4 linked regions of the Elephas maximus indicus genome follow. The protein of the gene in region 1 purifies or fractionates together with the protein of each later gene. This does not show direct contact. Links are inferred from orthologs where the notes say so. Each region holds a gene or a part of one and is shown on either strand. Other genes may lie near its edges. The genes, in order: EIF3H, EIF3J, EIF3D and EIF4B.

Evidence for each region.
Region 2: the proteins of EIF3H (region 1) and EIF3J purify together in Homo sapiens (affinity purification with mass spectrometry; 3 studies listed by BioGRID and IntAct, with this or other methods). This does not show direct contact. The link is inferred for Elephas maximus indicus from reciprocal best matches to the Homo sapiens genes EIF3H and EIF3J.
Region 3: the proteins of EIF3H (region 1) and EIF3D purify together in Homo sapiens (affinity purification with mass spectrometry; 10 studies listed by BioGRID and IntAct, counting the BioPlex papers as one, with this or other methods). This does not show direct contact. The link is inferred for Elephas maximus indicus from reciprocal best matches to the Homo sapiens genes EIF3H and EIF3D.
Region 4: the proteins of EIF3H (region 1) and EIF4B purify together in Homo sapiens (affinity purification with mass spectrometry; 3 studies listed by BioGRID and IntAct, with this or other methods). This does not show direct contact. The link is inferred for Elephas maximus indicus from reciprocal best matches to the Homo sapiens genes EIF3H and EIF4B.

What each region holds. Positions count from the first base shown.
Region 1 is NC_064833.1:25,733,020-25,740,537, forward strand, and holds the start of EIF3H (eukaryotic translation initiation factor 3 subunit H), read left to right. Parts: upstream 1-4,432; 5' UTR 4,433-4,475; coding exon 4,476-4,607; intron 4,608-7,518.
Region 2 is NC_064828.1:11,590,810-11,599,045, forward strand, and holds the start of EIF3J (eukaryotic translation initiation factor 3 subunit J), read right to left. Parts: upstream 3,195-8,236; 5' UTR 2,816-3,194; coding exon 2,761-2,815; intron 2,670-2,760; coding exon 2,566-2,669; intron 1-2,565. UniProt on the Homo sapiens protein: Component of the eukaryotic translation initiation factor 3 (eIF-3) complex, which is required for several steps in the initiation of protein synthesis.
Region 3 is NC_064822.1:180,151,144-180,158,752, reverse strand, and holds the start of EIF3D (eukaryotic translation initiation factor 3 subunit D), read left to right. Parts: upstream 1-4,484; 5' UTR 4,485-4,620; intron 4,621-7,118; 5' UTR 7,119-7,128; coding exon 7,129-7,251; intron 7,252-7,559; coding exon 7,560-7,605; intron 7,606-7,609. UniProt on the Homo sapiens protein: mRNA cap-binding component of the eukaryotic translation initiation factor 3 (eIF-3) complex, a complex required for several steps in the initiation of protein synthesis of a specialized repertoire of mRNAs.
Region 4 is NC_064822.1:108,528,918-108,536,198, forward strand, and holds the start of EIF4B (eukaryotic translation initiation factor 4B), read left to right. Parts: upstream 1-4,280; 5' UTR 4,281-4,362; coding exon 4,363-4,375; intron 4,376-7,281. UniProt on the Homo sapiens protein: Required for the binding of mRNA to ribosomes. Functions in close association with EIF4-F and EIF4-A. Binds near the 5'-terminal cap of mRNA in presence of EIF-4F and ATP.

The sequences.
Region 1 (7,518 bases):
GGGAGGGGTCGTATCTGGAGCTCAACTGGAAAAGTTAAGTTGAAGGTGCCTGTGTTCGAATCCACCAGTCGCTCCTTGGAAACTCTATGGGACAGTTAAACTCTGTCCTATAGGGTTGCTATAAGTCGGAATCAACTCGATGGCAGTAGGTATTAGACATTCAGTGGAGATGGTGAATAAACTGTTGGATATGCTGATCCATACTTCAAGGGCAAGGTCTGGGGAAGACCTAAATTTAGGAATCATAAGCATGTATTTTATGATGTTTACAGCCCTAAGAGTGGATGATGTCATTATGATAGGGAACAAATATAAGGGAAAGAAGATGCTCAAGGACTGAACTCTGGTGCTCTTCAATATTTAAGGATTTGGGAAGGGGAGCAGAATCCCTGAGAAGAAAGGAACAGCCAGTGAGATAGCAAGGAGACCAGGAATCCAAGTAAATGAAGTTTCATTGCTTCTAGGACTTTGTAGCTAAGGTATTCATATTGGTTTCTTAATTCCAATTCTGTGTCATAAGGTTTTATTTCTTAATTTCTTTTAATATTTATACCTCTGACCTATCAGGAGCACTGTTTTGGTCAGAGGACTCAAATGCACCATCTTAGGTCAGATTTAAAAAACCTGTGTAATGTGCTTGGAGTCCCTGGGTGGTGCAAATGGTTGGCTGCTAACTGAAAGGTTGGTGGTTCGAGACTACCCCCAGAGGAACCATGGAAAAAAGGCCTAGCAATCTACTTCTAAAAAATCAGCCATTGAAAAGCTTATGAAGCACAGTTCTACTCTGACACACATGGAGTCACCATGAGTCAAAATCAACTAGATGGCAACTGGTGGTGGTGGTGTGTAATGTGTTTGGCACACATGACTGTAAATCCTTAGTGGGATATTTCTAAGGACAGAAAAATTGCAAAGAAATTTTAAACTTTACTCAGTAGTTTTATTGGTAGTGGTAATATTGATATTGCAATTATGAAATATACTATGTGTTACGTATATTGTAGGATAAAGTAACTAAGTAAACTTATTGTTGGTAAATAACCTAAGTATTCTGTGATGTTGTCCAAGCATGACCAGTAACTTGAAATTTGGCTCTCAAAATGGAGGGTGCCGAGAGAACAAAGAAAGAGAGGACAACTCCAGTGTAGCAGCAAAGAAGACTTACATATGAGGCCAAGTGTTGGGCAGCAGCAGGACCAGACCAGATTGCCAGAGATCTGGAACGGCATAAATTTTACAGTGGTAGTGGACAATGGTGGCTTCACACCAGAGGCTTACATAAGAATGCAAACTAGTGAACTAGCAAACCACATGGGGGTGCCCATGTTCGGCCTCCCAAAGCCCGTTTCTCCTTCAGTCCACTCCCTGAGGCTGGCTTTTACAATCTGGCATGCTCTCCCTCTTGTGCTGTAGTACGAGTACGAGAGACCCCGTTCTCTCCCCACTGGGACCAGATATAGATGTGGGGTTGGCCAGCGCCGTATGGTGTTCATGCATATGCAAGAGACAGAGAAAGTTATTCTGTGCCCAGAACAGGGGGAGGTTTCTCTGATAAGGAGAAGGAACTGGGAGAGAGAAAAAACCAAAAAACCAAACCTGTTGCCTTTGAGTCGATTCCAACTCAGAGTGACTCTGTGGGAGACGGAGGCTCAATTCCTAGCCTCCTTATCAGAGAAGGCTTTAGACCCGAGGCCTTTACTTAGGCAGCCTGGGTGGGAGACGTAGAGGCAGACCATTCCTCCAACAGATGCTCATCTTGACAGGTACCCAATGGTAGGCACGCATCTCCAGTTCTGCTTGTTCCATTAGGGATTTTCTTTCCCCTCCTCCTCCTTCTTCTCCTTTTTCTTATCATTTTTTTACTGATTTTTAGTGTGATTTTACCATGATCAGCCTTCAACACTTGTAAATTTGTAAAGACTTCATCACCCAGGGTGTGATCTATTTTAATAAATATTCCACATACTCTTAAAAAGACTAGATATTAACATTTCCTTTTGTATCCTTAGTTTTTTGTGTGTGTGTGAAACCCTTTGCCAGGTACAACTATTTCTTTTCTCAGATTGTAACACAAGAGCTCCCTCCTCCCCAACAGCCAAAGCAAAAAAACCCGTTGCTATGAAGTCGATTCGGACTCACAGCAACCCTTTGGGACAGAGTAGAACTGCTCCATAGGATTTTCAAGGTTGTAATAAAAAAATTTTTTTTTTTTTTTTTAATCTTTAGGGAAGCAGACTGGCACGTCTTTCTCCTGTGGATCGGCTGGTGGGTTCAAACCTCCGACCTTTCAGTTAGCAGCAAAGCTGCTTAACCAATGTGCAACCAGGCTCCTTCCACCGACAACAAAAATAGCCAAAAACTTCAGGGAGGAAAAACCCTTCATTGATGTTCCCACTTTATCAGTTCTGAATACATACTTAAAGAATGAGTAAACATTTTAAAAATAAGACAAATTGTTATTTGGAATCTGAGAAATAATGTCTTAAATTCCTTAACTAAATTGGCTTTCTAAAGCTGTCAAGTTTTTTTTTTTTTTTTTTAAGACTTGAGATGTATATTTTAGAGTAATGTGTCACCAGTTAGCGTAGTTTTTAGGGAATAATATGTTCTGCATTATTGTTCAACACTTCACATAATAACGACAACAAAAACAAACCAAACCCAGTGCCGTCGAGTTGATTCCGACTCATAGCAACCCTATAGGACAGAGTAGAACTGCCCCATAGAGTTTCCAAGGAGTGCCTGGTGGATTCCAACTGCCGACCCTTTGGTTAGCAGCCGTAGCACTTAAGCACCAGGGTTTCCCACATGATAACATCTTTGGTATTTTGCTCATGTAAATCTCACCATGAAGCTAATAGAAATGAAGAGCTATTAGTTCTGGTAATTCCGATTAAAGTTCCTATGTTTGAATTAATTTCTTTATAAACCATCTTAAAATTTTCACTATCTAAAATTACATGAGACATAACATGGATGAATATGGAAGGCATTATGCTGAGTGAAATTAGTCAGTCCCCGAAAGACAAATACTGTATGAGACCACTATTACAAGAACTCAAGAAAAGGTTTAAACACAGAAGAAAACATTCTTTGATGGTTACGAGGGTGGGGAGGGAGGGAGAGGGATATCCACTAACTAGATAGTAGGCAAGAATTATCTTAAATGAAGGGAAGGACAACACACAATACGGGGGAAGCCAGCACAACTGGACTAAACCAAAAGCTAAAAAGTTTCCTGAATACAACCAAACACTTCAAGGGACAGAGTAGCAGGGGTGGGGGTCTGGGGACCATTGATTCAGGGAACATCTAGGCCAATTGGCATAACAAAATTTATTAAGAAAATGTACTGCATCCCTCTTTGGTGAGTGGCATCTGCGGTCTTATAAGCTAGCGAGGAGGGCCCTCTAAGATGCATCAATTTGTCCCAACCTACCTGACAAAGGAGAAAGAAGAACACCAAAGACACAAGGATAATATTAGCCCAAGAAACAGAAAGGGCCACATAAACCAGATATTCCATCAGCCTGAGACCAGAAGAATTAGATAGTGCCTGCCTACCACCAATGACTGCCCTGACAGGGAGCACAGCAGAGCCGGAGAAAAGTGGGGTGTAGAACTCAAATTCTAGTAAAAAGACCAGACTTAATGGTCTATCTGAGACTGGAGGGACCCCAGAAGACATGGCTCCTGGACTCTTTGTTAGCCTAAAACTATTCCAGAAGCCAACTCTTCAGGCAAAGATTAGACTGGAATATAAGACATAACTAAACCGGCAGCTCCCTCAGGAAGCGAGATAAGAAGGCAGAAACGGACTGGAGCTGGTTGAACTGATGGGGGAAATCTGGGGTGGAAATGAGGAGCGTGGTGACATATTTTAGGGATAGCAACTAGGGTCACAAAACAGAGTGTGTAAAAATTTCCGCACGAGAAACTAACTTGAGCTGTAAACTTTGACTTAAAGCACACACGCACACAAATTACAGGACACAGATTGCAATACCAGCTTGCCACTAATGAACAGAAGGACATTGCCCAAGCTACGTCTTAGTTTCCCAATACGTCCAGTGGGAGCTAGTACTCCCTTCATAGTTTACAAGTTTGGGAATACAGATTAATTCAAAAGATTAGAAGTGAAAGCATTTTTACGTATAAGACGCTACCGTGATGTCAGCTATAATGCTATTATGGTCACTCCCTAAAGGAGAATGACTAAATATGAAGTGGAAAACATTTAAAAAGTCTACAAAACTGCTCAACAGAAACGGGAGCGCAGCTGCACAACCCGCATGCGCACAGGATTCCGGCGGGGAGGTACAATAAGTGGGCGGGAGAAGAAAAAAGGCGGGGCCCTGCGCTGGCCACACCTCTTAGCAACGCGCCTGAAACGGAGGTGTGTCCTTGACGTCCCGGGAAGGTTATACTTCCGCTTCCGGTTACTCACTTTCCCTTCTTCCTGTCCGGCTGGAAAAATGGCGTCCCGCAAGGAAGGCACCGGCTCTGCGGCCACCTCTTCCAGCTCCACTACCGGCACTGCAGGCAAAGGCAAAGGCAAAGGCGGCTCCGGAGACTCGGCCGTGAAGCAAGTGCAGATCGATGGCCTGGTGAGTTGGGCCTGGTCTCCTCCGGCCCACGTGGGCAGCGCAGTTCCCATGGCAGTCTCGCCAGACACGCTTCTCCTCTGGGTCTGGTGAGGTTGCGCCAACGTTTTCCGTAGCATCCTCCTCCTCCTTGATCTTCACTTTTTATTTGGGAGAGGTGGCAGCCTTCTCCGCCCTCTGACGGGAGCTTCGAGGGTTGAGAAAAGGGATCGAGGTTAGGGGTTTGTATGACAGACGCTTGAGGTCTTGTTTTCATTTGGAGAAAGAGTATTGTGGGAATCAAGTAGGTGACGGAAGTGTCAAGAAGATGTAGGATCGTAGTTTCCAAACAAAAAATAAAAAAACACCAAACCCACTGCCGTCGATTCCAACTCAGAGCGACCCTGTAGGACAGAGTAGAACTGCCCCATGGGGTTTCCAAGGCCGTACATCTTTACGGAGGCAGACTGCCGCATCTTTTCTTCCGCGGAGCGGCTGGTGGGTTCGGAGTTCCCACTTTTCAGTTAGCTTAACCACTGCACCACCAGAGCGCCTTTTTTTTTAGAACACTAGCTTAGGGCTCTTGAAAAGGGGACGGTAAGGGAAAGTTTTCACTGCTTCCTTGCCGTGATTTGACATCTGTAACTTCAAATTGTAGGCTTACTTTTTAGCCACCTTTCTGAGCTTGTGGTTCAGTGCTTTACCTACGTAACTGGAGTAAACTCTTTACTAGTGGTCATTCTCAAGAACTTAAGTGAATATCAAGGAGAATTTCCGTTATTACACGTATTTAGTGATTGAGGTTCGTGAACTAGGACTTCTAAGGAAATCTGGGTAAGGGAATGGACTAAGCAGGAAAGAGGCAAATATAGAATGATGTGAAATTTCATTTCTGTTGTTTCCAAACAAAGTGCATGTGTAGGACCTCCTAGCTTTAAAAGCATTGCTCTTTTTGAAAGCTTTTGTTTTTAAAAGCACCCTCCTCTTTTGCACACCTTTTGTTTTTTTTAGTCTGCTTAGGTCTCTGTCTGGTCTGATTATTTTGCAGTAGTCCAGACCTTAGACATTTGTAATAAAGAAATCTTTTAAGATTCATTTGACAGTTTTAATTGCAGTAAGGTACATTTATGTGAAGGGAGACCTGGTGGTGTAATGGTTTAGCCCTTTGCTGCTAACCAAAAGGTGGGCAGTTGGAACCTAGTAGCCCAGCAGCCATTCTGCCGGAGAAAAGACCTGGCAATCTGCTCTCATAAAGATTTCAGCCTAGGAAATCCTGTGGGGCAGCTCTACTCTGTCATACACAGTTGCTAGAAGTTGGAATCTACTCAAGGGCACACAACAACAAAAAATGTTTACATAGAAACTATTGATAATTTCAGTAGCTTAATCTGTTGAAGTAAACTAGAAAAGGAAGTGTTTAAGTTAGTAAAACTGAATAAGATGGCTAAGACTCTAGACTCTGGAGTCATTCAGTCTTCCTAGCTTTGTGATCTTAGGCAAGTTAGCCTTTCCAAGTCTTTCTTCTTCATCTGCCCAGTGGGAATGAGAAGTAATTGTGTGATGAAGTTGTTGCAAATTCGTGGGGGTGGTACATAGTAAGCTCTTAGTAATTGTTAGTTGTGGTATAATTATTATTATGAGCATTATGTCTATGGATGGCAGGGTTTGAAAGATGCAGGCAGGAAATTAACTTTGAAAATTCCTTGACCTGTCCGTTTACTTGTCATTTGCATAATACTTTGAAAATGTATTCTACTTACATTTCTGATGTTCACCCGCCCCATTGGAGGCAGGTGTGTGTTCAAGAGTAAATAACATATTTTAGAAATTGAACGTCACTTTTTTTTTGGCAGTAGGACTGAACTAGTAAAAGTAAGTACCAAATTTAATACTTATTAAATTTGCTTTTGTGACAAAACCACTCTTTGAACCACTGAGTTTTCATAGTTGAAAATGTAACACCTTAGTGATGTTTGGTTAAGGTAATTTATTTGGCAAATATTTTAGGGCTTTCTTCTAAGTGCTGAGCACTGTGTAACATGGATGAATGATAATGGTACACCAGTAACTCTGTCCTTGGAGCTACAAGAGATTGTTGAATTAAAAAGACAGCTACAGGTGGAGTCAGACTAGGATCACGAAGAGCCTTACAGGCTGTGACGGTGGGCTCAGCAAGGTCAAGAGACTTGTTCTCTATTTTGTGACTTCACAAATCATTTTTATCAGCTAGTGGTTAAGAGCTACAGCTGCTAACCAAAAGTTTGGCAGTTCAAATCCACCACGTGCTCCTTGGAAACTCTATGGGGCAGTTCTACTCTGTCCTGTAGGGTCTCTATGAGTCAGAATTGACTTGGCGGCAATGGGTATCTCAAAGTTGTTTAGTTCCAAGGGACTGATTAATCCTATTCATGAGATTGATTTATAAACTTAAATGTCAGTTTCTTAATTTGCTGTGGAAGATATACCTTTGTAGTGACTAAAATGTTCACATCTACTACCAAAAGCACCCTTTTTGATTACCAGGGTATCTGGGAAATCATATTAAAAATCAGCTTACTAGTGACCACAGAATCCATTATAAGGGCAAATGAGGGACCTTGAGGGTTATTTATTCCAGGGTTTTGAAAAACTTGGTGAAGTACTTCTTAACCGTAGTAGTGGATACCTCTCTGCTTTTGCTCTTTATCAGTTAGATAAATATTAATCAAATAAATTCTTAATAACTTCTCTTTCCCTTAAAGAAAAAAAACCCTTTGCTGTTGAGTCAGTTCCAACTCATAATGACTCTATAGGACAGAGTAGAACTGCCCCGTAGGGTTTCCAAGATGTAGCTGGTGGATTCGAACTGCTGACCTTTTGGTTAGCAGACAAATGCTTCACCACTGCGCCACCAGAGCCCCTCTCTCTCCCTTACTGAAGACATTTGTATTTCTAA
Region 2 (8,236 bases), on another chromosome or scaffold:
ACGACCCTATAGGACAGAGCAGAACTGCCCTCGTAGGGTTTCCAAGGATCTGCTGGTAGATTCAAACTGCTGACCTTCTGATCTGCAGCCAAACTCCTAAACACTGTGCCACCAAGGCTCCATAAAGATTACAGCCTTGGAAATCCTATGGGGCAGTTCCACTCTATCCTACAGGGTTGCTATGAGTCAGAATCAACCCCACAGCAGCGGGTTTGGGTTTTTTTTTAGTGTGTTTCCTTACAAAGATTGTCTTAAAGCATTAGAATTCAGAAATTTGGTGTTACTCACCACCACCCAAAATGACAAAATTCAACTCTAGATCAATAACCTCTGAACAAGTAAAAACTTGCCTGATAACTATGATCATTTCATTCAAAACATAAAATTCACAGTAAATAAGGAACGTGGAAAGCGCTTCTCTGGGCTTAGGAAATCACAAACAATGTGGCACAAAATGAACCCCAGACAGTAGATTTAAACAGCCTAAGCATATTTTCCATTAAGTGAGACTTAACAGGTACTGAGGGCCTACCGTGTGCCAGGCAACTCTGCTTAGTGCTTGACATATTATCTGGTATAATCCGAAAAATAACCCTTTGAGGTAGGTTACTATAGTGGCAGTTTATACATGATGAAACTGAAAAAAAAAAAAAAGGAAGACTAGACAAAATGACCTTTATGGTCCATTAACCCACTGCCACCAAGTCCACTCCTATTCATAGCAACCCTGTAAGACAGGGCAGAACCACAACTACCCCACAGGGTTTCGAAGGCTGTAATCTTTACAGGAGCAAAATACATCTTTCTCCCGTGGAGCAGCTGGTGGATTTGAACCACTGGCCTTTCAGTTACACTTAACCACTGTACCACAGGGCTCCTTACAACTTGTCAATCTCCAAAACTAGTCCACAGAGATCAGAATTCTACTGATGAGGACCAATACCACTTAGATTCTTTAACTCCAGGAAGGCTGTTTCATGATACTGTATCAGTTCAGACTACTCTACTCAAATTATCATTTTCTGGGACTTATTTCCTAACTTCTCTAATCTTTTCTTCTCATTTGCTAACTTAAACTCAATTTTCATAACATATATCTAAACTGCCACATTTAGTATGCATGGAAAAGTGAAAGGACAAACTAGAACTCAAAGCCAAGGTTCAAAACAGAAAATCTGCCCCACAGGGTTTCCAAGGAGCAGCTGGCAGACTCGAACTGCCAACCTTTAGGTTAGCATGCTGAGCTCTTAACCACTGCACCACCGGGGCTTCACAATGTAGGGAGGTAACTAGTATCTCGCAAGAAAGCTGATAACACCATCTATCTCTTTGTCTGAACAATGTGTAAACAGAACACCTAAGCATCTTCAGTCAATAAGAGTACCACTCATTCATTAACTCCAATGTGTACAAAGATCACACCACCCCTGAACCTCAGGCTGTGAGGGCCATCCACCTTATCAGATTCAGGAGAAAAGGGAAAAGTCCAAACAATAGCGCTATTATGTTCATAGTGATTATCTAGCTCAAAATCTCCAATTCAAACAGAAGAATTTATAAGGTTCTCAGTATACACTGAAGAGTAGAAGTTAGGAACATAAAACATTCACTGAATTAATTAAAACCTGAAAAACCATTTTTTCCACTTCATACTTTCATCTGCACAAATGTAACAAGACTTTGAGAACCTTGTTAATAAGGGTTTGAACATCTTAACATTCTGAACTTCAGATTTTTGTAGCTACTTAAAAAAAACAGAAGTCAGAATGTCATCTAAAGGCCTACCACCCCTGGGGGTTTTCAAAAGCAAACGGCATTACGTCAATAGGATTCTGATCTACAAGGCGTAGGGAAAAAAAGATAAGCGGCGGCCCCTCCTCTACCCCAACTGCCAAATCTTTAGTGCTTCATCCTCAGGCGCCGCCGTCGTGCGCGGAACATTACACAACTCACTGCCCACTGCCCAGGTCGCCGAGTGGGCTGAGCGGGTTTCTGGGGGCTAGCCGCTGGCCATCTCCGCGCTCGGCTCAGCCTTTTCACCACAGGGTGGGGGAGGGAGGGCTCAAACTCCCCTCCCCGTACTGCTTCTATTTGTCTCGTGTGAACAGGCGGAAAAAAACTGAAATCAAAACACACTATCTCGCTCACCTAACCGTTCCGTCCAAGTCTGCTACAAGCGGGCCTGATCTCGAGAAGGCAGGCCGGCTGCAGGCCCTCCCCTGCGGGCCAGGCCACGCGGCTCAGCCCTCAACCTCCCGCTTCACCCCGCGACCCCACGACAGCGACGCCGGCACGTGGGCCGGCGGGAAGTGCTGTCACCTCCGCAACCCGCCGGCGAGTGGGGCCGGGCCGGGCTGCCGCCACGCCGCCCGTCCCCGGCCCGCAGGCCCAGCGAGCAGACACGGCGCCGCCGACCCTACGCCCGCGCCGGGACTCGCGGCCCGCAGGCCCGAGCGGCGCCCCTGGGCCGAGTCCGCCCGTCCGCCCGCCCGCCGGCCGGCAGGCAACCCGCCCGCGACAGCGCCAACCCGGCCTGCGCTGCCCGGCGCCCCGGCCCGCGCCCACCTTGACGTCTTCGTCCTCGTCCTCGCCTTCCCAGCGGTCCCCGCCGGCGGTGCCGCCGCCCCCCACCTTCCGCACCGGGTCCTCCACGGAGAACGCGTCCGCGTCTACGGAAGAGAGCGAGCCGCGTTAGTGCCTGCCTCGGCGTGGGGCCGGCGCCGGTCCGGGCCCAGAACCTGCCCTCGGAACGCTCCTCACCCCAGGAATCGGAGTCCCCCGCCGCCGCCGCCGTCGCCGCCGTCGCCGACGCCATCTCGGGCCGGGTGTGAGCGTGTGTGAGGGGGAGGAAGCGAGGACTCAGCGCGCAGGAGGTGAGTCACTGGCTTTGCTCTCGTTGGCCGGCGCGAGGCAGGCTGGGACCGTGGCGGACTGTGCGCCGAGGCCCCGCCCATCTGGCGGCAGCCGGGCGACGCACGCGCGGGCCGGCGGCAGCGTGGAAGGCGGCGGACAGCGCTGGGAGCGGCGGGGCCGAGCGAGGCGGCGGGGAGCGGCGGGGCCGAGTCGGGGGTTCCCTCCCGGCAGGACGTTTCCGCAGGCTGGCGGGCGGGAGGACGGAGAGCAGCCGGGAGACCGGCAGCCTACCCTGGGCCCGCGGAGGAAACGTAAGCGCGTGGTCGCTATCCTCGGCCCCCGCGGCTCCGGCCCCGCCCACCCCGGGCCCCGGCCCCGCCCCCGCGGCCCCGGCCCCGCCCCGAGCACCAGCGTTCGGCGCCTGCGCCCTGCCCTCACTCTGCTCGCTTGGATTCCGCCGGTGGCCGCCTGTGGGAGGCGGCGAGCGAGCCCCCCGGCCCGCGGAGGGCGCCGTCCGCCCGCGCCGGAGGCCGGAAGCCGGCGTGCACGGGGCGCGCTTCGGACATCCTCCCTAGCCGGGTCGCTGGGAGCCGGCTGGGCTCGGTCACCCTGGAGGATGTGCCCTTCCCGGGAGCCCCGGAAGCCGGGACATCGAGCCTCTCTTGGCGGGACAGTTGGGGAGCTCCTCGCTCTGCTGGACCTAGGCCCTGGCCGTGTCCTCCGGAGCCCACAATCAAGTAGCAAGGGTAGGCTGTGAACAAATGTCGACACAGTGTGATGGCTGCAGCGTAAAAGAAGCATTGTGAGGTTAAACGTTACAGGGTAACATTAAGGACGGCGGGGACCTGGAGGGTGCAGAGACGTCTCCCTGAGTTTGGAAGACCACTTCTGGTGTAAAGAGCCGTGTGTGCTGTCCCTGACCACAGAGGTCAGCTGAGTGCGGCTGAGTAACGCAGTCGGAGATGCGGCTGAAACGGTAAACTGATCTCAGAGGGGTTTAAGGTGAGCTAAGCAAGTGCACGCGTCCCCGGGCTCTGAGCTCCACCGTGGGGTTGTAAGAGGCAAGCAGTTTCAATGTTTTGTTTTATTAACTCCTTTTATTTTCAAAGACTTAATACTTGATTACAGCGTTCAAGTTTTTTGTAGATACATATTTATAAATATAGTATTAACTTACAACCAAAAACCACTGTGTAGCAACCTTATTCTAGGTTTCTTGTGTATCCTTTTAGAGAAGGTGTACAAATAATACATTGTACAAAGATGGTTTTTCTTGAGACAGCCTGCAGCCCTCATACTATGATCAGAGTGTGTTCACGGATCAGCAGCTGGAGCTTACTGGAAATGCGGGATTTCAGGCCCCATCCACGCCTATGGAATCAGAGTCTACCTTTCCAACAAAATCGGAAGATGATTTTTCTGAACATTAGAGCGTGAGAAGCAGTGATCTATAGGCATCAATTCATAACGATGGATCAGAAGGAGGCAGGGAAAAGCTGCACTCTAAGGTCCCTGAGGGCACGGCCTGTGTTTCATTCACAATTGTATCTCCAGCATGTGGCACGGTGCCCAATACATAATAAGTATTTCATGAATTAGTTAAATGGGAAGGACACAAGCCTGAATTAAGGCCATGTCAGAGAGGGAGAAACCAATCTGAGAAATATCTAGGGATTAGAGTCAATGGGATTTAGTGACTAATTGGATCTGGACGAGGCGGGAAAGGACAGTGCACAGTGATGACACCCATCTAGTTACTCAAGTAAAAAACCTGGGAGCTATCCTTGATTTTCTCCTCTCACTCCCTAAATTCAGTCTATCACCCAGTCCTGTGGTTCTTTTACAGTATTAACCTTGAATCCATTCAGTGCCCCCCCCCATCCACATCCCTATCTCTGCTGCCACTGCCTTAATCCAAGCTGTCTTTACGTGTACTATAGTAACCTCCCGATTGGCCTGCTTTCTTCCAACTCCACAGTCTGTTCATTACACACCAGCCAGTTTGTATATTTAAAAATGTAAATCATAACATCACACGTACACAATTGAAGTCCCCTTAGTGACTTCTTGGAAACCCTGGTGGTGTAGTGGTTAAGTGCTACAGCTGCTAACAAAAGGATTGGCAGTTTGAACCCGCCAGGTGCTCCTTGGAAACTATGGGGTAGTTCTACTCTGTCCTATAGGGTCGCTATGAGTCGGAATTGACTAGACGGCAGTGGGTTTGGTTTTGTGAGATGGAATATGGTGGATTGAAAAGTCACTGCTTGGAGGTCAGTTAAACAATCAGATTATGTTGAACTGAATGCTGGGTACTGCTGGTGAGGAGTGGGGAGAGCTATAATTCCTTCTTTTCCAGAAACTCCAAGTACACAAAGGTGAGTAGACCCCCAAAGCCGTGTCTGACCCTTGCTGAGCTGGCTTGGAAAGGGCATCAGAAGCAGATTAACTGTGAAGCTAATGAAACTTTAGCTTTAGGGCTCTTCATTGCATGAGTTCCTCTCATTCTTCAAGAAACCCTTCCAAATTGCATATGCTTCAGGCTGTATAAAACCTGGGTCTGCCCCTAGGTGGGATATAAGTAACCAGAGGAACCATCCAAATCCGAGGATGGCCTCCAGTGAACCACACTTAACAATATGCAAACCCTTATGTAGTCCTTTCCTCTTGAACCTGGGCTAGCCCTATGATCTGTTTTGACTGACAGAATAGGGCAGAAGTGACACCTAAGGTTGTCACAAGCCTTGCAGCTTCCACCTGGCTCTTTTGGAACGTTCACTGTGGGGGAAACCAGCTGCCATTTAATAAGTCTTACTACCCTGAGACCACCATGCTGTGAGGAGGTCCAAGCGAATCACGTGAACAGCCAGCCTCCCACTGTTCCAGCTATCCCACCTGAGATGCCAGACGTGGGAGTGAAGAAGCCATCTTGGACATCCAGCCTAGTTGAGCCATCAGATGGCAGTCTACATCCAACCACTGTTTGAATACAACCACAGAAGACCCCAAGGGAAAGTTGCCCAGTGGAGAGATAAGTTGTTAAGTCTCTAAGTTTTGGAATGAATTATTATGCAGCAGTGGGTAACTGAAAGGTTCTCCCAGACTTTAGAATTTGGAACTGACGACTCCCAGGGCCTGGGAGCTGTCGTGGCTGGGACAGCACTCTGAAGGGAGGGCCACAACTCCTGCTGAAGTGATGCTTTCCCAGGCCATCCTGGTTCCTCCTGCCTTCCCTGTGGTCCAGTTGTTCAACTCTTCCTTGAATGCCATGAGATACCTTAGTATCATTGCAGTAAATTCTTTTCTTGGCCTCAGCTAAAAATCTTGACAAAAACATCCTAATAGAGTCTAATTGCAAACAGGAAATCTTCAGAGGCTAATGCTCTACTGTACTTGAGTCTGTATTCGGCACATACCCGTTGCCTTGGAGTCGATTCTGATTGATAGCCACACTACAGGACAGAGTACAACTGCCCCCTAGGGTTTCCAGGGGGTGGCTGGTGGATTCAAACTGTTGACCTTTTGGCTAGCAACCTTAGCTTTTAACCACTGCACCACCAGGGCTCTGTGTTTGGCACAGAGTAGGCATTTAGTAACTATTTTTGAATGACTACATGAATAAATTTCTTACTGGGTTCTTTTCCAAGTTAGAAAAGCCTGCCCATCAGGCCATCAGATTTCTCTTCATGAAAGGAAATCTCAAAAGAAAAAAAGTTAATACTGCCGGGCCCCAAGGAAGGAAGCTTTTTATTATAAGGTATGCTGGCTAAGAAGATGCCAGATCCAAACAACTACATCAAGGTAGAGTCTCAGGAAAGCAACGTTGTGTTTTTCTGAAGCGGTAGTGTAATTATTTGTATTAACTTTGCTGAAGATGTTTTAAGACAATGTATCTTAAACCAAAAATTATTATCAGAAAGAAGGTTAAATATAGGGAAGGTGAGGCCAAAGAACAAGATTTTGATAGTCTCTATAGAAAGGAAACAATGAGCTGACCTGCAGACTTTTAGCAGTTGTATCATATGAGGGTATCCGCTTGATTTGATAGTAGCCATTAAGGTTCCTTTATAATAGACTCTCTGGTTCCACCCTTACCAAAAAACCCCAGATTGTGATTCAGTCTTTTAAGGAACTTGCTGACAGTAAATGAATAAAATTGAAATCTGGCTTAAAAAATGAGTGTCTTGTGTGTGAACCAGTTCTCTTGAGTCTCGTCAGTTTTGGTTGCACTGAATAAATCAATTTTATGGACTTGAAAGTATAAGTCTGAACTTCTAAATGTAGGCTCAGACATTCCTTCATTTAGTCAGCAAATAGTTATTGAGTACCAAATATGTACCAATTGCTAGGTTCTGGGAACACAGAAAAAACTCACTTCAAGGTGTTAAACCATTGCAGCTGGAAAGGAGGGGAGTGGTGCTGTATGAACGAACACCGTAAGAGCCTGTGCATCTTCAGCGCCGATGTTTTGGAAGCAGCAGTTAAGATTTGCTCACAGTTTGGTGCATGCTGTACCCGCCCCAATGAATTCGGAAACAAGCGTCTAGAAGTATGTGCTAGGTACTTTAACATTTAGTTATTAAAACAAACCAGTGTTTCACATGTTAGCCTCTAGGGAAGCCCCAAAATTGCAACTAACAGTATTACTCAAATTTTACATATTTTTAAAAAGTTTATTTCACAGATGACCGGAGTAGGTGGTCAGTAACTGTTGGACAAATGAACATTAAAACCTCTGCCCTCAGGAAGGCTCTAGAAGAGTAAATGCCAACAGAGGTGAAGCAGAGCTGCTCATGGCTTATCAGTTTAGGTGCCTTAAGTACCAGATTCAAAATCTCCTAAAGATGAAATAAGGTTAAAGCTGAAGAGGGGGAGGTTTTAATTGCAAACAGAGCCAGTTTAAAATTCATATATATAAAACACGAAGATTACTCAGTCACCTAAAAAAAAAAAGTTTGTATGAGTTGATACAGAAGGAACAAATTTATTTTTCATTTTAAACAAGCCAAAAAAGACATGTCTATGTATCCAAGAATCATATAAGACATAAAATGACAACACTGTCTCTGTTCAGTTCCTGCACATTTTTCCAGACTTTTATAAGGTGCCATAAAACCCTACAGTTCTTTCCCATTTTTGTCTGGCCAGTGGAAAGCACACGTCTTTCCCCAGGGAGTGCCCAGTCCACACTGATCTGTCAGTACTCTTCTAAGCTAGACGAGCCACGCTCCCCACAGCTTTCTACCAGTCCCCTGTCCTCCAGGCCTCAGATTGCCCCGTTGTAATGCTAGTAACCACTTAACCTCAGAGAAAGGAAACACTTGTGTGGAAAGTTAAGTTATAGATAACTCTTCTAACTGGTCCCCTGCACTCCATTCCTTATGTA
Region 3 (7,609 bases), on another chromosome or scaffold:
ATCCATAACAGTGCCCTTTTCTCAAAGGAGTTTTCATGGCATCTTTCCAGCGTGGAGATGCACATTGTCCTTTTCTGGGCAATTTAATAACTAACTTTTCATTATTGCTAATAATGGCTAATGTTAGCACAGCAGTTTATAAGTGACAAAGTCTTTTATTTCCTTTGAGCCACATGACTGCAGTATTTCAATGCCAATTTTATGATAGTAAAATGAGGCTCAGAGGGCAAGGTCACTAACCAAGGTCACAGGCAGCTAGTAAGAGGCAGAGCTGGAATTTCATGTATTTATTCATTCAACAAACATTGATGGAGTACCTACTATGTGCCTGATATAGAACTAAGTGTGGAGGCTGCAGCAGGAAGACAAAAGTCGGGGACCCTGCTCTCAGGGGGTGCCTGTTAGTGGGGGGAGGTTGAAAATGGGCACTCGTACAAAAAGACGTGATAAGTAGGTGAAGACCCTGTCATGGGGCTGTGTATTGGAAAGCGATTTGGGTGCAGCAACTCTACGGCAGGAGTTCAGGGGAGACTTTCTGTGGAAGTGGAGGTGATGGAAGAGGAGGTGACACCTGAGCCAAGACTGGAGGATTAGAGGGAGCTGGCCAGGGTAGGAAAACCCTGGTGGCGTAGTGGTTGAGTGCTATGGCTGCAAACCAAGATGTCAGCAGTTCAAATCCACCAGGCACTCCTTGGAAACTCTATGGGGCAGTTCTACTCTGTTCTATAGGGTCACTATGAGTCAGAAATCGACTCAACGGCAGTGGGTTTTTGACCAGGGTAGACCTGGTGGGGGGCGGGGGGGGGTGTCCTGCTGGGGAAATAGCCCTGCGTCAGGAACAGCCTTTTTTGTTCCCACACGTGCCCTTCCAAGGAGGGAAGGATGAGTTCTCGCATGCTGGGATGGGAAGGGAACCTCTTGGCCATCCAGTCCAGCATTCACTCTGGAGAGGAATCTCCTTGTCACACCTCTGGCTGGTTGCCATCACCTTCTCTTGGATGTCCCCAGTGCCAGGGAGCTCACTACTCTGTTAATGCTACTGTGCCTTCTTGGGACTCTTTTCTGGTCAGCGTTTCCAGTTCCTTTGTCTATTTCTTGGTGTCCCACACCCCCCACTCCCTCATGCCTTTTTTTGTGTCAGAAGTCTAACAAAATGGCCATCTCCAAAATTGCTCTTCTCTCCTCCTCCAGTCTGGGAACAACTGTCATTGGCACCTCCCCCCGCCACCATCCCCTGCTCAGTTCCACCCTCCTATTTTGGGTGCTTTTTGGCCTTTTATAGGCCTCCCTTCATGTCCACAAGTTCCCTCTACTCTACCTTCTCTGCCCCACCTGAGCACCTCCACCCTCTCATAGCCTGCAGTCTACCGGGGCAAAGATGCTCCTTCCCTCTTGCGTTGCTTTGGTCATCTTCTTTGAGTTGGCACTAGTCTTTTCCGGTCTACCCACATTCATTTCAGCTCCTGGATTCTGCCATTCCTTCCCCCTCAGGGGACTCCCTGGGTGGTGTCAACGGTTAAAAGCTAGGCTGCTAACCTAAAGGTTGGAGGTTGGAGTTCACCCAGAGGTGCCTTAGAAGAAAGCCCTTGTGACCTACGACCGAAAAATCAGCCATCGCAAACCCTATAGAGCACAGTTCTATTCTGACACACGTGGGGTCACCGAGAGTCAGGATCAACATGACAGCAACTGGCAGACTATGGAATGGAGTTTAGGATTTTATCCTCAGGGTAACGGTAAGCATCTAAAGGGTTTTAAGGGTAGGGGTGGGGTGAGCATGTGCTGACTTAGTGTAAAGCAGGGGCATTCTGCTGCTGCATGGAGAATGGACAGCAGATAGCAGGAAAATGGCAACAGGGGTGTCAGTTGGGAGGAGGAATGGAAGCAAGATCTCCCACCTAAGCCCAGGGACCCACTATTAGGAATGAGACTGGACAGTCCAAATCCATCTCCATCTGGGTGGGCAAGGATGTCTAGGCCGAAATCTGGGAAAGATGATTCAGTTCTCTGACATGAGTCATGGAGGGAGGATGCAGCAGATGGCCTGTGAGTCCATGATCAAAGCAGTTCAGCAAAAATACATTTTCCCTTATGGTTTAGAACAAGGACAATTTATTATGGATATTAATTACACTAACATTTATTGACGGAAACCCTGGTGGCGTAGTGGTTAAGTGCTACAGTTGCCAGCCAAAGGGTCAGCAGTTTGAATCCTCCAGGTGCTCCTTGGAAACTCTATGGGGCAGCTCTACTCTGTCCTATAGGGTCGCTATCAGTCAGAATTGACTTGACAGCACTGGGTTTTGGGAACATTTACTGAAGGAGCCACTGCGGTGCAATGGTTAAGCATTCAGCTGCTAACCAAAAGGTTGGTGGTTTGAACCCACCTAGTGGTTCCATGGGAGAAAAGACCTGCTCCCATAAAGATTATAGCCTTGGAAACCATATGAGGCAGTTCTACTCTGTCCTATAGGGTTACCATGAGTCAGAATCAACTCCATAGCACACAACAATAACATTTATTGACTGCTTATCTATGTGCTAGAGTAATGTGCTGAATTCATTTTTTCATGTAATTCTCACAAAACCTCTATCCATTCATTCAACACGTCAACAAATATGTAATGTTCTAGGTAGACAAAGCTCCTATCTTCATGGAGCTTACACTCTAGAGGGGGAGACAAACTCTACACAAAGAAACAAATAATATTCCAGGTAGTGATGAGAACTATGAAAAAAACAAAGCAGGGTAAGAAGGCAAGGAGGGATGGAGAGAGAAGGAACTATTTTAGGAAGACCTCTTTGAGGAGATAACTCTTCAGCAGAGATTTGGATGATGGGACCAAGCCAACTATGAGTAGATGTGGGAGAAGAGTGTGTCATGCAGAAGGAACACAAGTGCAGAGGCCCTGCTGAGGTGGACGTGTTTTCATTGTTGTTAAAAAAAATTTTTAAGGAAAACTGAAAAATGAGCCAATTGAAAGAGATCTTATGGAAGAAGGTGCTATTAACATTCTCATTTTACAGATGAGTAAGTAGGTTTAAAGAGGTTGAATAATCTGTCCGTGTTCATCCATGGACATGGGTAAACACGGAATTACTAAGTACTTTAAACGGAATTTAAAAGGAATTACTAAGTACTTTAACATACACGGAACCCTGGTGGTGCAATGGTTAAAGGGTTTGTCTGCTAACCAGCAGGTCAGCAGTTGGAATCCACCAGCCCCCCTTGGAAACCCTACAGGGCAGTTCTACTCTTGTCCTATAGGGTCGCAATGAGTCGGAATCGGCTCTATGGCAAAGGGCTTCTTTGTTATAACATACATTCTTTATTTTTACAATCACACACACAAAAAAAAAAACCTGTTGCCCTGGAGTCGTTTCCTACTCATAGCGCCCCTACAGGGCAGAGTAGAACTGCTCCAAAGGGTTTCCAAGGAGGGGCCGGTGGATTCGAATTGCTGACCTTTTGGCTAGCAGAGAAGCTCTGACACTGCCAGATATGGAAACTGAGGGCCAGAGAGGTGACACCACTCCGCCAGAAAATGGCAGAGTCCAAACTAGATCCCAGATTTGTCTAATAATAGATGTATTTTCCAATAAAGGAGACAGGCTGGGAGACGAAGGAAACCTAGGAGACCAAGTAGAAAAGGATCTGACTGAGTAAATCACACCGGAATTGACTCGTCCACAACAGGTTCGATTTTCTGGTGCTCCTTCTGATCAAAGTTTTGAAATTTCTCCGGTAAAGACTCCAGGAGAAAATCCCTACGCCGAGAGTTGCAGAGAGGACAGCATTGTTGCCCAACGTAGCAAAGTGGTTCTGAGTCCCCCCACTTCAGAAGCACAGTTGCCAATTTAAATGCAAATTCCTGGACTCCTCTTTAGGCAGATTTGAATAACTATCTGTGGGAGCGAGATTCGTAATCTGCATTCTTTTAAAGTAGAGCTCCAGTAATCTTTGCCGTACAGTCAAGTTTGAATAGTTTTTAAGTAGGATTTGGACACTGGTAGACACTCCTAAACTAGCACTCTAAACTAAGCAGGTCATTTTACACGTCAGCTTCCGCTACTGTAAAAAGGAAACGGGTGCTAATTACTGTAAAAAGGAAACCGGTGATAATTACGAACCGGGCCTAAAACACTCGCCCCACCCCTTGCTGTAAGAATCAAATGACATGATTGGTTAAAGAGAGCGGGGGAGCCGCGGGTCATTGTGGGATACAGAGGGGCGGAAGGGTCCCGTGAAGCATTCTGGGATACTGAGTGGATCTCAGCCTCTCCCGGCCCCCAGCCTCGATTGCACGGCCGCTACGTTTCAGTGCTGCCTGACGTAACTATAATCACACCTCTTGCGTCTTGAAGTCTGGGAGGCTTCGGCTCACACCTCGCAAAGAGCAGTAACGACTTTCCGGGTTACCTTAGCTTTACGGCTCGTGCGTCTTACCACCGAACTCGGAAGAAGCTGGCGAGCAGTTTACGACAGCGCCGGTCGTGTTTACGGCGCCGGCTGCTGCGCGCGCATGTTCTCCCTTTTCCCTGTTCTCCGAGTGCTTCTGGTGACTCGCGTTTCTTGCCCCGACCATCTCCCGCCATCGGGGAGGGCCGAGGCCGTTGCAGGTGAGCGGCGTGTTGTGTGGGGTCCTGAGGGCTTCCGGAGCCGGTTGGGCTGGATCCTGCCTTCAGGGGCCTCCCGGAAGAGACCTCCTGTACGTGCCCTCCTGCTGCCGCGGTTCCTCAGCCGGGCGGGGCAGAGAGCCACTTTTGGAGGCTCCGAGCCCAGCACCCCTTGGGGTGCGGGATCCGGCCCAGTTGGTGAAGTCTCTGGCTTTAAGCTCGCTTCTTGGCCACGGTTTAAGCGTATTTGGTTGTCACTTAACTCAGCTGGGTCTCAAGGTGTTTCTAAAGTGGCTGGAGGCTTCCTGAGTTTTTTCTACGAGTGGGTTATTGAGGGTGGTAAGCTGAGCGATGTTCGACCCCTGCCCTGAGGAATGCGCAGCTCAAATGTTTCTTTTCCTTTTCTTTGACATGAGAGGTTAGGATGGAGAATTGACCTGATCGGAAGTCTCTCTTCGCCCAGGGGTTGATGGGTGCGATCTGCGATGGCCTCGACAATATCTACACAACACTGTGGCCAGTACAGCTGTCACTGTCCATTTTCCCCGAACGACTCCATTTCCCCTACTGGTTCCATTCTGCTCGCTCTGTTTTACTTGGGCTGGAAAAGTGCATGTCAAGCCTTGGGCCGGTTTCCTTCTTGAGCTTCTTACAGAACGACTAAACTGAAAGAACAGTGTATTTGCAGACATTCTTATTGCGTTGTTAAGTATGGTCTGAAAGTCCCAGAGTTTTTCAGACTGCCGCCCAGCTCTAATGGGATGAAGAGAGTGTCGGACTTACGGCAGACTGCCCTGTAAATCGAATCAGTTCAGAAACCATGGACAGGTCAACCGCTTGATGTGGCTGAGGTTCAGATTTTTATCTCTAAAATCGGGAGGGAGGTAGTGGTGTTAAAGTATCTAGTATGATGCCTCGTCCATCCAAAACCCGAACCCGTTGCCATCGAGTCGATTCGGACTCATAGCGACCCTATTGGGCAAAATAGAACTGCCCCACACGGTTTCCGAGGAGCACCTGGTGGATTCAAACTGCTGACCTTTGGGTTAGCAGCTGTAGCTCTTAACCACTATGCTACCAGGGTTTCCGCCTCGTACATACAGCTCAATAGATATTTATTGAATGTGAATTGTTGAGATTACCGCCCCTTCCCTCTGTCCTCTTTGCTAGCATAGCTTAAGTTCAGAGTTGGAGGATGAAGCTCCTAGGTTCATTCCCTGTTGCTATCATTCTAGTGTCATCTCTGTAGGAAGCCTCAATCTCCCCATTTTGGACAATGAGGAGAGTTTACTGAGTTCAGTATATCTCTGCTTTTCGATTTGCTCTTCAGCTTCCAGGAAATGCTTGTGTCATGAGTTTTTCTCAGGGAACGAAGGTTGTGAGCACTTTCAGAGTGCTGAAATGGATGGTAAACACATAATTTTTGGTAGGGACTGTCAGGCAAGCATCTGCGTTGGAACCCCAGGCTCATATACTCCTGAGAGGAGTTAAAGCGTTGTGCAGAGAGTGGACTCTGGAGCCAGACTGCCTGGATTCAAATTCCTTATCAACTACCATTGAGACTTTGGGTAATTTCTTAACTTCACTGTGCCTCAGTTTTATTATCTGAAAGTGGAAATAATACTGGTCCCCACCTCACAGGATTGTTGGGAGGATTTAGCGAATTCATATATGGTTAGCACTGAAAACAGTACCTGGTATCCATAATATTTGATGTATGGTAGCTTTTGGCCTAAGGTTTATGGTGACATCAGCCTTCTGGCAGGCCTTTGCCTGGCTATGTCCACTTGCTCTGCACACAGGATTTGCATTGGTGATAGAAAATTGGAAGAACAAGAAAGGAAAGTCAAATTTTCTGACATAACTTACGGATTCTTTTTTCTCACCACTCTTTGGGCATAAATGTATTTTGCAAGGCTGGGTAGTAATTATGTGGCATTTTACAAAGGAGGCATTTTCATGTGTGTTGACCAGGACTTCCACGGTGATCTCGTAGTACAAGATAAAGCAAGGATTCTATTTATTTTACAGATGGGGAGACGGGGGCTTAGGGAGGAATCGTATGCCTGGGTTAAGGGGCTTCTAAGAACAGAATGTGGTTATTACAGTTGCAGAAGGGTTACCAGATTTCATCAAATTTGTGAGACACACTGATGTTAAGAAGCACCATTATCTTATGTAACGCCGAGAAAAACTGCCAATTAAGCTGTGGTACACCATCAAACATAAGTTGTAGCTTCATTTCAAAGATGTCACAGCTGAAAAAGTGTCACAGAACTAATGAAATACAGTGAATCAATTTGGTTATCAATCTAATGAGCTTTATTCACAGTGTCACTTATAAGAAAGCATCTCGTCAGTAGCTCAGTAGTTCAGAGTTGCATTTTGTGTGTTGCTTTTTGAATTTTTATCATTTCTGTCTGGGCCTACCTCAAATGGAGGACTTTTTGTACTGTGAGGCCTTTCTTCCCGCAGCTACTCACCTTATTTGTGTCTTTAAGGTTTTAGAAGATGGCGAAGTTCATGACACCCGTGATCCAAGATAATCCCTCAGGCTGGGGCCCGTGTGCAGTTCCCGAGCAGTTTCGGGATATGCCCTACCAGCCGTTCAGCAAAGGAGACCGGCTAGGAAAGGTACTTGCCTGTCAGCAGGACTCTGCGTCTTTCAAGCTGTGGCTGTTACTCCCCAGGAGTTCCTGTTTGCATTTTATTCTCTCAAAAGCATAACCCCTGCGTTCCTTATAGTGATACCAGCTGAGAAAGGCTCTGACCTCTGGAAGTAGTCACAGGAGAGCTGCGTACTTACAAAGGCATTGTGATCCAGTTCTTCTGAGACTTTATCACACTGTTTCCTCCTGTAACTTTTTCAGGGGTTTCTGGGTCAACAGCAACTTGCCTGGTTGACCTGTGCATTCTCTGTCTTTCCTTGTTGCTCTTAATAGGTGGCAGATTGGACAGGTGCCACATACCAGGATAAGAGGTACACAAGTAA
Region 4 (7,281 bases), on another chromosome or scaffold:
TATGTTAAGGTGTAATCCATACTGAAGGCTGTGGTCTTTGATCTTCATCAGTAAGTATTTCAAGTGCTCTTCATTTTCATAAAGCAAGGTTGTGTCATCTGCACACTGCAGGTTGTGAATGACTCTTCCACCAGCCCTAATGCTGCGTTCTTCACACAGTCCAGCTTCTCAAATTATTTTGTATAGGTTATATAGATTGCTTGAAATATCATGCCATTTATATGCTGATGACTCCTATTATGTGTCCTCCCAAAATATGTGTTGTAAATCCTAACCCCTATAGCTGTGGCTGAGGAGCCCTGGTTGAACAGTGGTTAAGCGCTCGGCTGCTAACCAAAAGGTCGGCGGTTTGAATCCACCAGCCCGTCCACGGGAGGAAAATGTGGCAGTCTGCATCTGTAAAGATTATAGTCTTGGACATCATATAGGGCAGTTCTACTCTGTCCTATAGTGTCCCTATGAGTTGGAGGACTAGAGAGCAACGGGTTTGGTTTCTTTTTTATATCTGTGATTATAAGGGGCTGTGTTTTCTTTGCTGTGTTAAGAGGGCATATCAGTTTAGGGTGTGTTTTAAGCCAATCACCTTTGAGATATAAAAAGAACAGATTAGGCACAGAGAAGCAAGCAGAGATGGGGGAAGATAGATGCCCTGCCACATAAAGATCACCACGGAGCCAAGAAACAGAAGTTGAAAAGAGACAAGGACCTTCCCCCATGATGCTCTGAATTCAGACTTCTAGCCTCCTAAACTGTGAGAGAATAAAATTTCTGTTTGTTAAAGTCACCGACTATGGTATTTCTGTTATAGCAGGACTAGGTAACTGAGATCAAACCAAAATCGAACCCTTTGCCGCTGAGCCAATTCCGACTCATAGTGACTCTACAGGACAGAGCAGAACCGCCCCATTGGGTTTCCAAGGAGCAGCTGGTAGATTCGAACTGCCGACCTTTTGGTTAGCAGCTGAGCTCTTAACCAGTGCATCACCAGGGCTCCAGGTAACTAAGATGGCTCCCGAATTCCTATTTCCAGACTTGGTCTCTTTCAGGAACTCCAGATCACCTACTTGACATCACCACATGGTTGTCCCCAAACCAAAACCCTTTGCCGTCGAGTCGATTCCGACTCATAGCGACCTTATAGGATAGAGCAGAACTGCCCCATAGGGTTTCCAAGGAGCAACTGGTGGATTCAAACTGCCAATCTTTTGGTTAGCAGCCGAGCTTTTAACCACTGTGCCACCAGGGCCCCTACGGTTGTCCAGTACTCTGCTATTCAAACTGTGGTCCTCAGACTGGCACCATCTGCATCACCTGGAAGCTTGTTAGAAATATAGAATCTCAGGCCTCATCACCTCAGCCCTGCTGAATTGGAATGTGACTTTTAACACATTCCTCAGGTGATTTATAAGCACATTAAAGTTTGAGCAAACTAGTTGCTGTCCATACAGTTCCAACTTGTCACAACCCCATGTATGTCAGAGTAGAATTGTGCTCCATAGGGTTTTCAATGGCTGTGATGTTTTGGAAGTAGATCACCAGGCCTTTCTTGTGAGGCACTCCTGGGTGGATTTGAACTGCCAACCTTTAGGTTAGTAGCCAAGCACTTAACCATTTGTGCCACCTATTTCAAACTTCACATGGCCAAAATAGAGCCCACATACCCCCTCTAAACCTGCTCCATGATAGGCTTCACCATGTGAGTAAACAGCATCACCCAGGTTGTTATGGATTGAATTATTTCCCCCCAAAATGTGTGTCAACTTAGCTAGGCTATGATTCCCAGAATAGTGTGATTGACCATAATTTTGTCACCTGATGTCATTTTCCTATGTGTTGTAAACCTTATCTCTATGATGTTAATGAGGCAGGATTAGCGGCAGTTATGTTAAGGAGACAGGACTCAATCTACAAGATTAGGTTATGTCTTGTGTCAACTTCTTTTGAAATATAAAAGAGAGAATTGAGCAGAGAGAGTGGAGGACCTCAGGCCACCAATAATGAAGAACCAGGAGGGGACAGCATCCTTCAGACCTGGGGTCCCTGCACTGAGAAGCTCCTAGACCAAGGGAAGATTGATGACAAGGACCTTCGCCCAGAGCCGATAGAAAGAGAAAGCCTTTCCCTGGAGCTGGCACCCTGAATTTGGACTTCTAGCTTCACAGACTGTGAGAGAATAAATTTCTCTTTGTTAAAGCCTCCCACTTGTGGTATTTCTGTTAGAGCAGCACCAGATAACTAAGACAGAGTTCATGCCAAAAACTTGGAAGTTAACTTTGATAGCTCCCTCTCCCTTGACTCTCACATCTAATCAATCATCAAGTCTACTTCCGAAATATATCTGCATCCATCCTTTTCCATCTCCACATTCACATCTAAACCACCATCTTCTCTCACAGCAATTTATCCACTAAGGGCCAACTTATTCATTAGGCGTAATGCCTAAGACCCACAATACTTCTAGGGTCTTTCTCTTTCATTATTCCATCTGTCTAATCTACTCTCCATTCAGCAACCTCAGTATTCTCTTTTTTCTTTTTTTAATTAAAGTATGACTTCCATACACTAAGGTCCAAAAATCTTAAGTGTACAATCTGATGCATTTTTACAGTTATACATTCATATAACCGCTACCCATATGAAGGTACTAAATAATCTTTTTTAAAAAATTATTTCAAGTCGTGGCTTTCTCCTGCTTAAAATCATTCCGTGCTTGATAAACAAAACAAACAAAAAGGAATATTATTCAGTTATGAAGAAATGAAGTTCTGATATATGCTACGACATGGATGAATCTTGAAGATATTATGCTAAGTGAAATAAGCCAGGCACAAAAGGACAAATATAAAATAACTAGAATCGACAAATGCATAGAGACAGAAAGTAGATTAGTAGTTGCCAGGGACTGGGGAAGCTGAGGGGTGAAGGAGGAGTTATTGCTTAATGGATACAGAGTTTCTGTTTGGGATGATGAAAAAGCTTTGGAAATAGCAGTGATGGTTGCACAGCATTATGAATATAATTAATGCCACTGAATTGTACTTAAAAATGGTTAAAATGGCAAACTTTATGTTACATGTGTTTTACCTTAATTAAAAAAAAAAAAAATCATTCCATGCTTTCCCAACCACCTCCTGGTTTACAAAGCCGCACTTGACCCAACTCCTGCCTATCTCTCAAACTTCATCTCGTACCACTCTCTTACTGTTTTTGTTAGCTGCCTTCGAGTTGGCTCTGACTCATAACCTTACAGATATCAAAACAAATAGTTGCACGTCCATCTCCATGATCGTTGGGATGCTACTAGCCTTTAAATTCATCAAATTGGCAAGGTGTTCCTACCCTGGCCTTTGATGTAACTGCACATCCTCTCCTTCCCCTAAAACTCTCCCTGAATACGTTCGCAGGGCTAAGCTGCTTGTGATTCAGATCTCTGCTTAAATGTCGCTTCTCAGGAGGTCTTATCTAGCCACATTCTAGAGTTGCACCCACTCAGTCATTTTTATTACATCACTTATTTTAATTACCTCCAGAGTCCTTATCATTTCTAATACTTTATTTATTAATTTGCTTATTGTCTGTCTTTCCCTCTCTGGAATATAACCTACTTGAGGGTAGGGATCTGGTCAGTTTTGTTCTCTCTTGTACCTGCAAATGTCTTTAACAATGCCTGGCACAGAGTAGGTGCTCAACAAAAATTGTCATGGACTGAAATATTAATATATGACAAAATGGAGCATTAGCTAGCGAAAACATGGGTAGCACTCGGCTATGAAATCATAGAAAACCGGGTTTGACTAAACCTAATCAGAAAATTGTGAGGATTAAACAAGGTAAAAATCCATGGCAAATAATGTTCAGTATTTATTAACCTAATTTCTTTTAAGCACGTTTATTTACAGCATTTTTAGGCAGGATTGTGAACTTGTTTCGCTTTTACAAAAAGTATCCGTCCCAGAAAATCAATTACGGCACACCCATTCTAGGTTCTAGCCCGCCTTGATTCTATCCCTATTAGTGCAGCCAGCAAATACGAACACGCCTGTTCCGCCTAACGCACCCGCAGGAAGTCTGCGGACCATGAGAACCCGCCTCTCGTCCGCGCGTAGTCCTACGTAAAGCGTAAGGAATTTCGCGACAGCCCAAGCCCCACCCCTCCGGCCTCATGTCGCGCAGGTCTTCCCGTCGGACGCAGCCCCACCTCCTCGCGCTGCTTTACGAACCTGGAGCAGCGCCGCCCCGCCTCCGGTCTCCCTCCTTACCTCCCCGCCCCCTCCCAGTTTCGCGTCTCCTAGGCCGACGCGCCCGCTATAATCACGTGATTGCCTCATCCGGGTCCTTTGCGTTCTCTCTCCCTCTCCCAACATGGCGGCCTCAGGTGAGTGAGCGGCCGAGCGCGGCGAAAGACCGGGCTCCTAAACCACTCTACCAACCTGATCCACTGACTACCTGGAATCGGGAGGTGGGCGGCACTGCTTCCCTTAGGATTTGGGGGCTGCGGCAGGCTGGTGGCTTGGCCATCTTACATTATTGTCTCGGGATGTTTAGGGGGGAGGGGAAGGTGCCCTTCCCCTCCCCCTCACAGCCTTTTCACCCGGTCTGCGCGAGGCTCGAGTCGGGGGTAAAGGTGGGCTCTGGCTTGAGTTGGAGCGAGGAGGCGCAGAAGGATCTGCGAGAGGCGCGAGATGTTTTCATGGACGTGATACACTGTGCCCGCTTGAAGACGTGGAGGAAGGAAGGAGCGGTTGGCGCGCGGACCGGCGCACACTAGACTAGGTCTCCAAGGCGCGAGGCCGTTGCGGACTGGAGCGGGGGCAGGGGGATAAAGGGGGGGCAGTTAGAACGCGAGCGCGTGTCAGTGGAGGGGCGGGGGTGAGGCAGTGGTGCGCGTGCGCGGTGGGAGGGACGAGGGTAGTGGAGACAGGCGCTCCTCAAAAGCATGCGCGAGTGCCTAAATGGGAAGGCTTTACGCGCCTCTGTTGCCCCTTTTTATGTCCTTCCACTTTCTGCTCTTTTCCTCTAAGAGTGTGGCCCAGCTTTGTACTCTTAAAGGTACATGTGTCAGGTTGGAGGTTGAAGCTACTAAAGTTAGGTGGGGGTAGGGAACTCTGGTGTACCCACGTGTTGGAGCGGAACCAGGGCTAAGGACTTAGATTTTCTTCTGTGCCTTTTTTCTTGTCAAATTTTTACTGAGCGAAAACGTTGTGCAAGGCACCGTGGTAGGCACTGGAGATAGTGGTGAACGAGATTAGGTCCCTGCTCTTATGAAGCTTCTATTCGCGTTGAGTTTTTGATAGTTCCGGTGGTAGAGTTCAGTTTTTTTTTTTTTTTATAGATGTAGAACTACTAGGGATACAATTAAAATGAGTTGAGTTGTTTTTTGAGGGGGCGTTATCACTGTCATGCAGATCTTTCTGATAGACTTGGAAGTGCAGCAGTAAGCTGTGCAACATCTTGTAGCATTGATTTTAGTTTGACGAATATAATTTTTTCACCCTGGCATCACCCTGCATTCCACAAAACATTCACTGAGCCCCTGCTATCTCTGGACACTCACTTCTCACCAGGAATTTTACCTTCTTTATTATTTATAAACGAGGCTAAGGGTTATGCTTATCTTTAGAAAATGTCGAGGTAGTTGAGGTGCAGTTGAACATGATATCTTTCATTGCTGTTCATTGGTGTAGACTTGCCAATTGACCAAGCAATTCTGTGTGTGTTGTCTCGTTTGGTCCTCTGTGAGATAGATGGTGGTATGCCTCAGCCGAGGACAATGAAATGATTTGTTCAAGGTCACACTGCTTGCAGGTGGCAGAGCAAGGCTGAAATCTAAGACTGTTGACTCATTACCATCACCTACTTGGGAGTACCAAGGTTGACTTCCTTTTTTGGTGTGCTGTCCAAAAGCTTCATCTGAAGTTTAAAAAATTGTACTTTTTTTTTTCTCTCTGAACTGGTACAGTCCTAAATTTATTTTAAGCTTATCATTGTGTCAAATACCGATTTGGCCTGGGTTTGCCATCTTGACAGTTAACTGTCTCATAATTTAGTGAAAAGCCAGTATTCTCCTTATCCATAACTTTTGTGAAATTATTACAGGTAGAAGACCTGTTAGCAATTATATAATCTGTGTCCTTCATTTTACACATGAGTTCAGTGAAATCCAGGCTGGTTAAAGGGGTATGCTCAGTGATGTCCCCTTCTCCTGTTTTCCATGTTTAGTTTACCCCCTTGGAAACACTTCCTTAATTCAGTGGATACTTATTTAGCTTGTTTAGTCTGTGCAAGGGGCACTATGCTGGAATCTGTGCTCAGGGATACATCTGACAGTCTGTCCTCGGGGAGTTTTAGGTTTATCAGATTTCTTTTCCCCTTTAATCTTTTACACTGTAATTGACTGTTGGGTAACCAGTAATACCAGATCTGGCTGTACTAAAGAGGCTGTAAAATTCTCAGTGTATTTTCAGTGTTTCCTGATGGTGACCAGTGTTTTGCTGGAAGTAGATCTTGTATTTCCTCTGTGGAAATACATGATACAACTTCATCAGCCTCTTTTGAGACTGAAAATTCTTCGCAGCAATACACATTTCCAGTGTGACCCGTCGTTGACTTCAAGAACTGGAAGTATTTCAGGGCTTACTATTAAATGGAGGTATCTTGGATTTTTAGGAAACTTGATACATTGAGACAGGCCACTTGATTCCTTGTTTGGCTTCTTAAGAATACTCCCCTGAAACTGAGGTTTTCATTTTGTTTTAACTTTTGTAAATTTGTTACAGACCATTTACCTCTTGGGTCCCAGTTTCCTCATCTATAAAATGAACATAGTTTATCTGCTCACTTTAGGTATAGAGAATCAAACGTGTTTGATACATGTTAGCACTTTTTGAAACTAAAGTTGGCAAAAGTGTGTGCATACCTATGTGCAACCCTTTCATTTTGCATAACACTTAAATGCTATTGAATATGGCATTTTGTTTGATTTTTTTTTTTATGGGGAGAGGATGGTATCCATTGTTTTCATATGGTGCTGACCCTCATAGTTATTTTCCCTTTGATTAACCTATGATATCCTTCATATGTGCATTATCCTGTGATTATCCAAAGAGAAATAGTTTCAGAGATTGCCATTGGATTATGTTTGCATTATTACCTGTTTTCAAATCCCATTCTCTACCATATATTTGTTATTCTGAGGCTAGGATACCTAGATTCAGAAGGCCAAAACTAAAAACGCCTTACGGAAATTCAAAGACAAATACAGAGAGTAAAAAAAAAAATCTG